Linked DNA regions of Nothobranchius furzeri. The protein of the gene in region 3 interacts with the protein of the main gene of each other region in a biochemical or structural test. Links are inferred from orthologs where the notes say so. Each region holds a gene or a part of one and is shown on either strand. Other genes may lie near its edges.

The links.
Region 1: of the proteins of cullin-5 (region 3) and ube2f, one has a biochemical effect on the other in vitro, tested with the Homo sapiens proteins (2 studies listed by BioGRID). The link is inferred for Nothobranchius furzeri from reciprocal best matches to the Homo sapiens genes CUL5 and UBE2F.
Region 2: the proteins of cullin-5 (region 3) and rbx1 form a complex in vitro, tested with the Homo sapiens proteins (4 studies listed by BioGRID and IntAct, with this or other methods). The link is inferred for Nothobranchius furzeri from reciprocal best matches to the Homo sapiens genes CUL5 and RBX1.

What each region holds. Positions count from the first base shown.
Region 1 is NC_091754.1:2,840,585-2,844,525, reverse strand, and holds the start of ube2f (NEDD8-conjugating enzyme UBE2F), read right to left. Parts: upstream 2,801-3,941; 5' UTR 2,589-2,800; intron 482-2,588; exon of another isoform or gene 459-481; 5' UTR 402-458; coding exon 287-401; intron 1-286. UniProt on the Homo sapiens protein: Accepts the ubiquitin-like protein NEDD8 from the UBA3-NAE1 E1 complex and catalyzes its covalent attachment to other proteins. Together with the E3 ubiquitin ligase RNF7/RBX2, specifically neddylates cullin-5 (CUL5).
Region 2 is NC_091752.1:65,786,479-65,789,929, forward strand, and holds rbx1 (E3 ubiquitin-protein ligase RBX1), read right to left. Parts: upstream 2,013-3,451; 5' UTR 1,955-2,012; coding exon 1,877-1,954; intron 1,196-1,876; coding exon 1,117-1,195; intron 1,041-1,116; coding exon 970-1,040; intron 817-969; coding exon 731-816; intron 647-730; coding exon 634-646; 3' UTR 501-633; downstream 1-500. UniProt on the Homo sapiens protein: E3 ubiquitin ligase component of multiple cullin-RING-based E3 ubiquitin-protein ligase (CRLs) complexes which mediate the ubiquitination and subsequent proteasomal degradation of target proteins, including proteins involved in cell cycle progression, signal transduction, transcription and transcription-coupled nucleotide excision repair.
Region 3 is NC_091750.1:28,008,917-28,012,416, reverse strand, and holds part of cullin-5, read left to right. Parts: intron 1-1,260; coding exon 1,261-1,360; intron 1,361-3,500. UniProt on the Homo sapiens protein: Core component of multiple cullin-5-RING E3 ubiquitin-protein ligase complexes (ECS complexes, also named CRL5 complexes), which mediate the ubiquitination and subsequent proteasomal degradation of target proteins.

The sequences.
Region 1 (3,941 bases), on a different chromosome or scaffold from region 3:
TTCCTGGACTAAACCAACAACAGCCTTCCCCGTCGTGAGTCCAGATGGGTGAGTCCATGAATGTTAGTGACAGTGTGACGTAAATCTGTCAGGATTTTCTAGAGTTTCACCATCTGTTTTCTATCAGAAGCTAATGCAGGAGGTAGGTGTAGGAGACTATTTTCATGTTCAGCCTGCATGAAAAACTCATTACTATTAGAATCAGAGACAATCATTAGTAATGGTTCAGTGTTCCACGCCTACAAATCCTTCAGAGTGGAACGAGACGATAAGGAGATACTGGTACCTTTGGTCAGGAGGCGGTCCCTGATGGAGACCCTGTGGGTGGAGTCTGAGGCTCCAGAGGCACGGCTTGCTTTCCCTCCATCCTCCTTCTTCAACTTGCTAGCCAATGTAAGCATGGCTACGCTGCTGAGACACGCCTCTCTCTGCCCCGAGCCTCACCGCCTGTCCAACGTCTGCCAGTGACACAGATCCACATCTTCATTTTATCAGAATAGATAAACAAACAAACAGAGAAACAACAAAGTGTCTGTTTGTATGTGAGAAAGTTGGTTTGAATGTTCCGCTCAGAGCCGGCCGGGAGGGAACAGAGGTGTGAGAAAACGCTGAATAAGAGCCGCTTCGCTTTGAAACTAATCTGCTGAAAGTTTCCACCAAGAGGAGTGATTGTGTCTGTGACTCATCGTGTTGGTCACCAGCATCAAAGAGCACCTGGAGTGGGAATAAATGCATAAACTCAGATTACACTAAACAGGTGGAGCGGCTCGGTCTAATGCAGAATCAGACGTTTCCTGTTCAACGGTGTCATGTTTTCTATTTGATGTTTAAACAAGAAAAACTGAAAACACTTCAGAAGGAAAAACAATGCAGTGATTATTTTGGACATTTTTCTCTCTGAGTCTCTAAAGTGTTACCAGCTGGTTTTCAACTTTTTAGTCCAAACCACCAAAACAGTCCTTGGGTGTGACTCAGCGACACGCTGCTGTGACGTTTTAAACCGAACTGTAATCCTGTTGAAGTCAGACAGGGTTTCTGACACCACAACATGATGACTTCAGCAAACAAAGATGAACTTTATGTTTCACTTATGATGCCATAGCAAAGTCAAGCCCCCTGAGCCTCATCAGGAAAGGTCACGGCTAGTCTCTGGATGTAAACAAACAAATGGGTCCATTTGTGCTTTCAGATGAGTGGAAAACAAAACTAAAATGTTTGGGACAATTTGAGCCAAAGCAAGAAAAGTTGGAGCCAAGTTTGCTTTAGGCCCAAATATCATTTATAATCTTTATATTATAACTGATGTCCTGACTCCACCTGTATTAGTGCAACAAACCCAGGTAAAAAGAGGTTTCCTGTAACGTCTCCACTCTGTAAAACCCAGTTTGTGCACTGGGTGAGCTCACTCAGAGGGGGAGTGATGGTGTCGTGTGTCGCCGAGCCCGACTCGACACACACCTGCCCCAGCTGTCAGTCACCTCATATGTCTGTACGGCAACATCATCACAGCAGAGCTCACAAAGTCAGCGGCAAAACAAACGCAACAACACTTTAATCGCCGCACTACGGTAGTGCTTGTACACCAAACTTTTAACAAGGTCTTGTACAATAGATGTTTTGTTTTTAGAAAACCTGAAAGACTCTTTAGGCTTTCCCTTAAACCTACCCAACAATCTTTTCTTTGTATCATTTCAAGCCACTTTCACCTGTACGTTTAATAAAAGTGATGAAGTAAGAAAGATGCATCTGTTTGTTAACCTATCAATCACAGACCTCGTTATAAATGGTCTCAAGATATTGTCGCCCAGAGGTCAATCAAAGGGAAAAGAAAGACAGGCAGCCCTAATCAGATAATACCTAAAAGAGTCTTAACATTCAACGAAGTGTCATGCAGTTCTAGTTTTATGCTTCAATAAATAAATACATATATATACACACACACTCAATTTAGAGCTTGAGTCTGAGCATAACATCAGCGGGGAGTACTCATTATTTATGAAAATAAATTGTTTTGTCAAAGAAAAAGTCTGAAGACTAATTTTCTAAAGTATAAGGTGAACTTCTCTGTCTATTTTGCTCTGGATGCTTGATCATTAGTATACTAATTTATTTCCATAAAAACTGATCATAAAGCTAAAAATAGTGCATGCCATTTGTTTTGTCCTTATTTTTCAGGCCTGTTTGTGGTCAGACGTCTGACCTGCTACAGCTTTAACAGTGAGTCTAGCCTATTAATCACAAATTAATGCTCACTTCCCTCATTTCGTCTCATCTAGGTGGCCTGCCTTTCACACACGAATCCAGTCAACGTGACAACAGAGGAATCCTAACAAACAACCCAAGTCTTCTTAAAGGCGCTGAAACCAGCTGATTTAGAGCGACAACTTAAGATTTCACCTTCTTCCTCCTCCTCTTTGGTCGGGTTACCATAACAACACCTCGCTAATGTTGCTAATAAAAGCTACGTAGACGTTTCCAGACAGATCGCTCAACACCAGGTTTCTGCTCACAAGCACAAATGACACGGCTCCTTTCTGACGGCTGAACTTTTCACACCAGGAGCCGCTTGTGTGTTCTTTGTGTGTTACCTTCTGTCTCCCAGCTAGCTCTTCGTGCTAAACCATAATCAGCGGCTCTGCGAGCTCAAGCTGCCGCCAGCAGCACCACACCTGGCGGGTAGCAGACGCGTCCTCCTCTCAAAGGATCCAAAACTAGTTATTACCGATTCTACAACAGACTGGGAACTGATTTGGGAATCAGCTGACAGAAACTTCGCTCCGGTGGCAAACGGAAGCGCAATGGAGCAGTGCCCTGTTATTTGCTTCCGTGTGGACACACGGTAATGATAAATAGTTCCGCGCTGCTTGGTGGACGGTTATAAACATTTTAATAACCGTTAATATTATAATTATCATTAGTATTATTGTTATTGTTACTATTACTAATACTACTTATAATAATAATAATAATTTTTATTTTATTATTATTTTTATAATGATGATGAAGATAATAATAATTGTTATTGTTAGTAGTAGTAGTAGTAGTAGTAGTAGTAGTAGTAGTAGTAGTAGTAGTAGTATTTGTAATGATGTGGTTGGAGGAAAATGTCCACCTTTACAAATAATTATGAACCTGTAAAGATTTAATATTTCATTGTGATTATTGACCCAGTGAGAGTTGGACTCTGCCAGTTCATCCAGTTAAAATCCTTTACCTCAGAACCCTCCCCAGTCAAGTCAGGTGTGCCCCAGGGCTCTGTCCTGGGGCCCCTCCTCTTCATAGTATATCTCCTCCCTATCGGCAAAATCTTCCGCAAATTCAATATCCAGTTTCACTGCTTTGCAGATGACACCCAGCTCTACATTTCCAGTAAGCCCAACTCAACTCTCCCTCCATCCTCCCTTACACTCTGCCTCTCTGAAATCAAATCATGGTTCACCTCTAATTTCCTCAAACTCAACGGCAATAAAACTGAACTTCTTCTTGTTGGCACTAACTCCACCCCCTCAACATCTGACAGCTTTTCTTTAACTATTGACAGCGCCACAGTCTCCCCCTCACCTCACGTCAAGAGTCTGGGTGTCATTCTCGACAGCTCACTTTCTTTTCAGGCTCACATTAATAACATAATTCGGTCAGCATACTTCCATCTACGTTCCATAAACCGTCTCCGTCCCTCACTGACCCCTCACACTGCCGCCATTCTCGTCCACAGCCTCGTCACCTCCCGTATCGACTATTGCAATTCACTTCTTTATGGTCTTCCCAACAAACTCCTTCATAAACTTCAACTGGTCCAGAATTCAGCAGCCCGTATTATCACCAGAACCCCTTCCTTTCACCACATCACGCCGGTTCTCCAGCAGCTTCACTGGCTCCCAGTTAAATTCAGGTCCATCTTCAAAATTCTCCTCCATACCTTCAAAGCAATCCACAACCTC
Region 2 (3,451 bases), on a different chromosome or scaffold from region 3:
ATTAAGATATGAACGTTTCTACAGCCATTTAATACGTGGTTTAACCTCTGTCTGTCTCTGAACACAGCCGAACTCTCACGAGCGTTGGCATGTTTTGTTATTAATCTGTTATAAATGCAAATAAAAGGATGTCTGTCTCACCCTGTTGGAAAAATATTCACAATAAAACTATTTAAAAACATTTTGTTCCATTTTATTGGTTTTTAAATTAATCTGATTATTAAATAAACTAAATTAAATAAGCATGTGAGTTATTTCATTATTCAGGCGGTATGTGTAGTCCAGACGTTTAATCCAGCTGTGCTGCTTGTTTTGTAGCTTGAGGATTACAGCCGTGTCAGATCTCATGTCATTCCACGTGGCTGTAGATGCTCGTGACTTTCGTCCCAACACAATGTACCTCATGAACTAAACTATGAAGGTGCATGGTTGAGCATATCATGTGCACTTAATCTAGTTTTACGACTTCAATTCAAATGTGATTACATCCTCCTGAAGACTGATGGTTTTACAGTTTATTGAATTACAACATAGCAAAACATGTAAAATAACATCTAGGTATATGAGCAGGAAGCAAAATGGAAAGTGAAAGGTTGATGCTCGCAGAAGCCAAGGAACAGGTCAATATCACAACTAGTGTCCGTATCTGCGAAAGAAAAAACGAAAATGTGTTTGAGTCAAGCATCAAACAATCCTCAAAATCATATATGCATTAATGGATCCGACTCACTTCTGAAACTCCCACTCCCTGTTGTCCAGGGGACACACCTGTCTGGTCTTCAGCCAACGGGAGATACAGTGGAAATGGAAGGCATGCTATGGAAGGTAAGGAAATGTTTAAACGACTGGATAGCAGTTTAACAAAGATGCAAAGACTGAAAAATAAGTGATCTGCACTTGTAGAGTGCCTTTCAGAGTCAAATGACCCATATCTATCATCCTACTGAAAGTTGCACCTTAGAAACTCACATTGCAGACACCCCAGGCCACAGTGCACTCTTCTGAGGTTGCAGAAGCTTGGTTGGCCTGGCACTCTATGCCTGATGAAGGATGAGGAATTGTGTAAGAGGGCTGCCAACAACTCACATGCAATCAAACACCCCTATGTGAACTTACACAGATCCATGATGTGGTTCCTACAGATAGCACAATTATCCACCACTATGTCCCAGGCCCACAGTGCAACAGCATTCCACTGGAACAAAAATCACATTCTGTTCATAGGAAGGTAACTTAAAATGAAGGACCTCATACCTGGAAATAAAAACCTTAATTCTATGGCTCATTGTAGGGTCTCTGACATTCAGTACTAATTCAAAGTTATCTTACAAATAAAGTTTTTCAACCTTTGATTAAAAAATGCTTCCATGGACACCTCAATCTAGAAAAGGAGTTAATTAAAATCTGATTAATAAAATCCTTCTCTATCAGTACCGTTACTTTTAAATTATGTAATGAATAGGAGAAAAAAAACCTTGTCATCAAAACTACTTAACATTTTATCCTGAGGAAATGTGACAGTCATTTAAATACTTTAAATCTTGGGAAATTTCGAGATGTACAGCTTAGCTGACTAAGCTAATTTAGCATGTAGACTAAGAGATTAAAGAGGTATTTGTCCATTTTTAAATCGTGCTGTTATTGTGTAACTACTGAGAGTTTATCATCGCTCTTATTTCTCTACAAGTTCTAGTTTAGACTTTAAGGCCATAAACAGAATAATGATTAATTATTTCTTGTAGCAGGCTAACAGCTAAACACCGATAACGGTGTTTAGCAAGCTAGCGTTAGCTAATGTTGGGCTAAACCTTTCGGCGTTGCTGACAAAGTGCACCGTTTAGTTTAGTCAACACAGACAAACTTTCAACTATCGTACCTTTTTCACTTCAAAGCGCTTCTTGCTTGCTCCACTATTTGTACCGCTTGGCGTGTCAACATCCATTGCTGCTGCCATTTTGAACTCTCCGGAAGCGTTTATCTAAGTTTTACCGGAAAATAGCGTCACTTCCTGTTCGACCAGATTAAGCAAATTTTCGAAAGAAAATATTATTTTCTTAATAATTTTTGAAAAAACAAAATCAGGTTGTATTTCTGAATTGTTACCGTTGACACTCTTAATATTTGAAGAAGTATTGGTTAAAAGGTCAGGTTCCACCGAGATTTGAACTCGGATCGCTGGATTCAGAGTCCAGAGTGCTAACCATTACACCATGGAACCCCTGCTTATTAACATTTCTCTGTAAAGAATTTGTTAAATCAATAGCACATGTATTGCTTTTATTCATTGCTTTTACACACCCTTAATTTCTCATGCAAAAAAAAAAAAAAAAAACTTCTCATGCTGTATAGAAAGGTGTATCTATCTGAGCTACACACTGCGTCATACTCATCACACTACTGTGTACCACACACTCCCCTAGCTACAACGCTGCAAATGAGCGAGAATGGGGAGTTGACGCCCTCCAGTGGCAAAAGACCAACATAGCAGACATAACCTGTAACATAATAGAAATGCGGTTCTTTATACTGGTTGTTCTTTGTATATAATAAACTTTTAATTCAATTACTTGCAATCTGTCGTTTTATTTGATTGACCTAAATAATGCAAATAAATATATCCATCAGAGTATTAAAACACCTGCGTACTCAATCCTTTAATTTGCGCTCTCTGCTGGAGAAATCGGGTTGCTGCAGGTACTACATTCATACAACTTAAAAATTACGATTTTTAAATTGGCGTTAAAAACACAGTTAGTATAAAATCGGAAAATACACAATAAAACAATTTAACTAATGAAACTTGATAAATGTATTTCAGTTATTCGTGTTAAACAAGATTAAATCAATAGGCTAAAGAAGCTAGCTATCAGCCCCACAAACATTCGATTATACGCCCACTGGCGGCCACAGGGCAAAACTACATCTACGAGAGGACTTCATTTGCTTCCCATTTGGAAGCATGGGCATGGCTGGCTTCGCTAAGATTTAGAGGGATTTTTATTCATTTTAAAAATGTAATTCTTAATAGGTGATATGAGATACATATATTTAGGTACTAATATTTTTATCAGCATGAGTTTGTCAAATCAAACCCGTCTGATGTAAAACTATTAGTTCAAGACCAATAAACACCCAACTACATCTAATAAACACACACAGGGACATTCGTGTAGAAATTATTCGTTATAAGGTACAAATTTTTCAAACATGAGAACTCAATCTTTTAGCATTATTATATTTTCCCTGGCTGTCGTGAGTATTTTTCGCCCTCTAGCGGCCGAAAACTGTTACTACAGGTAGCGTTCATAAAGCTAAACAAAGCATTACACTTCCTGTAGATTCCTTCAAAACAAAACATACCATTTAAAATTATTAAGGGTTTTAAAGTGGAATTAACGGCAAAGTTAGTATAAATAACAGGAAAACTGATAGAATTATTATTCATGTTTTC
Region 3 (3,500 bases):
CTCAATTATTCCTGCTGGGGCGCGTGCTTTACATGTGCCGCCTGTTCTGTGTAATGCCTTACCTGCTGCGATCCACCAGTCAACATCTATTGCGGCCTTCTAGTCACGACTAAAAACACACTTTTGTGACCTGGCTTTTGCATCTTGACTTCCATCCATTGTCTGAACCCGCTTGTCCACGTAGGGTCATGGAGAGGCTGGTGCATATCTCCAGCGGTCAATAGGCAGTCAGGCGGGGTACACCCTGGACAGAGAGCCAGTCCATCGCAGGGCAACACAGAGACACACAGGACGAACAATCACACACTCACACCTAAGGACAATTTAGACAGACCAATTAACCTAACAGTCATGTTTTTGGACCGTGGGAGGAAGCCGGAGAACCCGGAGAGAACCCACGCATGCACAGGGAGAACATGCTTACTCCATGCAGAAGACCCCAGGCCGGGAAGCGAACCCAGGACCTTCTTGCATCTTGACTTGTTTCTTGTTAAATTTCTGCAGGGTATCTGCAGGTCCTTAAAAAGTCGTAAAAAGTCTTAAATTTGCTTTTCCAAAATTAAGGCCTTGAAAATCCTTAAAAATGATAAATAATCCTTAAATACAGTTTCCAAAGGTCTTAAATTACCAAAGACCCAATAAACAAGATTCTTTTATTTCTATAACATTTTCATGAATTTCGAGTGTTCAGCATTTTTTGTGTATGATGGTTGGCGTATGCGGAACCGTACACATTCAGTTGGTTGTGAAAGGGGGCTATTTTTAGATGAGCACATTAGCTGGTTAAGCTAGTGGGAGCTTGCGCCATGGGAAAGTGCAAGTTTAATGGTAACTGGATGGCTAATCCCACATTCGCGACGTGGTTAGCACCGGTTCCCGGCAATAGCTGGAAATTAAATATTAAATTTAATTTAAAAAAATTGCTTAAATTTGGTCAAAGTGGCCTTAAAAAAGGTCTTAAAAAGTCTTAAATTTGGCTCCCTTAAACCTGCAGATACCCTGTATCACTTTGTTATATTTATTTGTATTTTTATTAGGTTTTATTCATTTTTTTAGAATAGCCATTTTGGCAGTTTTACTTGTTTTATCGTGTGCTTTGTTTATGATATGATGGATGTCTTAGTACTTGTGTCTGTACTATATGTAAGGCGCTTTGGTCGGCTCATGCTGTATTGAAACGCGCTTGACAACAAAAGTGGTATGGTGTGGTTTTGTTTCCCAGCTGAAAGGATTCATCATCGTCTTGTGTTGCTTCTACAGAGACGTCCACGCTGTTTGTCTGTGGGATGACAAGGGTCCAGCTAAGATCCATCAGGCTCTTAAAGAGGACATTTTAGACTTCATCAAACAAGCTCAAGCAGTAAGATGGCTTCTTTTTGTCCTTTTAAGTTCAACTCTGTCCTCCATACTGAAGAGTTCTGCTCATTTCAGACCTGAAAGAAGAAATCTGTGATTAAACTCTAGCTTTGGAATCTGGATGGATCTCATTTTTAATTATCGAGTCTTTTAAAGAGCAAGTCACCTCCAGACTAGGGTTGTCACGGTGTGAAAATGTAACCTCACGGTTATTGTGACCAAAATGATCCGGGTTTTTGGTATTATCGCGGTATTTTTCAAACGGTGTTGCATATGTTCAGAAAGCATTGATAGTCCTGTTCTACACAAACTGAAATAGTTTAACAGTGTTTATTAAACCTAAAATAACACAAAGCCTTAGCAAAAGTGCAACTTTTCACAAGTAAAGGAACAAATAGCTTCTTTTTCTGGAACATGTTACAGTAGTCAGTAGGGCTGCAACAACGAATCGATAAATTCGATGAAAATCGATTACTAAAAGCGTTGGCAACGAATTGCGTCATCGATTCGTTGTGTCGCACAACTCTTCCAAAAGCGCCCCCCCCCCCTCCCGCCCGCCGTTGCGCGCAGACCAGAGCAAGTCAGATCAGCGCGAGGGAGAGCCGGCAGACTTGCGCTGCTGCGAACCGGTTCCGCATTGTTGCACAGCGATCCAGGCAGCTGCTTCCAGCGCACGGTCCATTCTCAAAGTGGCGCAACCAAAAAACTATAATTAGCACACGATCGTTCATGTCCGCTCATGTTCTCTACTTTCTGTCTTATTTGTGCCTGAAGCTCGCTACTGCGGAGCTCATCACCTGTGCTGTGGTGATGTCACCTCACGCAGCATCGAAAACGCGCTCTCCGCTTTTCAGTCAGGAGATCCCTTTGATCTGCTCAAAAGTAACTGATGAGGTGAAAAGGTAAGAATCCAGGCAACAGATTTTCTGGAGAGTTTAGAGGAGATGCAGGAAGATGAGAGACAGACAGGACAGGAAAATAGTTCAATAAAAACAAGAAAACAAAACAAAGTGTTGAAAAGTAAAATGTAGGTAGATTTATCTCCACTACACGTTTTTACCAGTAAAAAACAACAAGTTATACACATGTAGTATTTATACATCTGATACAATTCAGATCACCTTCAAAACTCAGTCACACACCCAGGGCCGTTTCAAGACATTTTGGGGGCCAAGGCAAAATGCCCCCCCCCCCCCCCCCCCCCCCAATAACTGGGCTCCCCAGAAGCCTCTGTGTAATTCATGCCCTCTCCAGTAGTGTTAGTTATATGGTGTTTATAAAAGCCCCTCAGACATTACTGACATGTTCTAATATTATCAGATGAAAAACTAAATTATCAGACATGCTATCTCATCTGCTGCTTTTCTAAACCTGCTAAAAGTAACAAAACCATTTGAAAGCCACTATTTGTGGATTCTCTGAAAGTTTCCATGGAGTGTGGGACAACTTATTTATTCATTGATCCTATCGTCTAATCTCACAGCTGAAACAAGCATCCTTAATAATCTGTGCACAGGAAGCTTACCGATGCTGTAGTAAAACAAAAGGTATAATAATTTATTATTAATAAAACCTTGTTGCAGCACTAAAGCAGAAAAATTAGATTTTGCATTAAATATGCAAAATATTTACATATGAATTGTTTTAGAGCCCTTTAATTGGCAGAATCTGATATTAATTTAGTTCTTACAAAAAATGGGTCCCAACATGGTTTGTGTGGCGTTGCCATAGTGTGACGTCATAGGCACAGATCCCCTGTCCTCTTGTTTGGAAATGGAAATATGGTCACCCTACATTAAACAAACTGTCCACCCGGGCTTTTGCGCTGCACAGAGACGCTTCGCTGCCTATGACTGAACGTCAGTTGAGAGTCAGTCTCATGCAGACTAACCAATGAAGAGAGGGCCTCAAGTTAAGACCCTCTCCTCATTGGTCAGTCCACACGAGGTGGGTCAAAGGTTACTCTGGGCGGGTTACGTGATGTCAGGCATTCAAGTATTGAGTATATTTACTGCATATTACAGTAAAATATTCTGTATGTGACCACATTATGGTGATCCTTGAGTCGTGATGATGGAGCCCTTGAATATTGTTGCCCAGGGTACAACAAAGTGTTAATCTGGCCCTGGTTCCGCCGTCACATT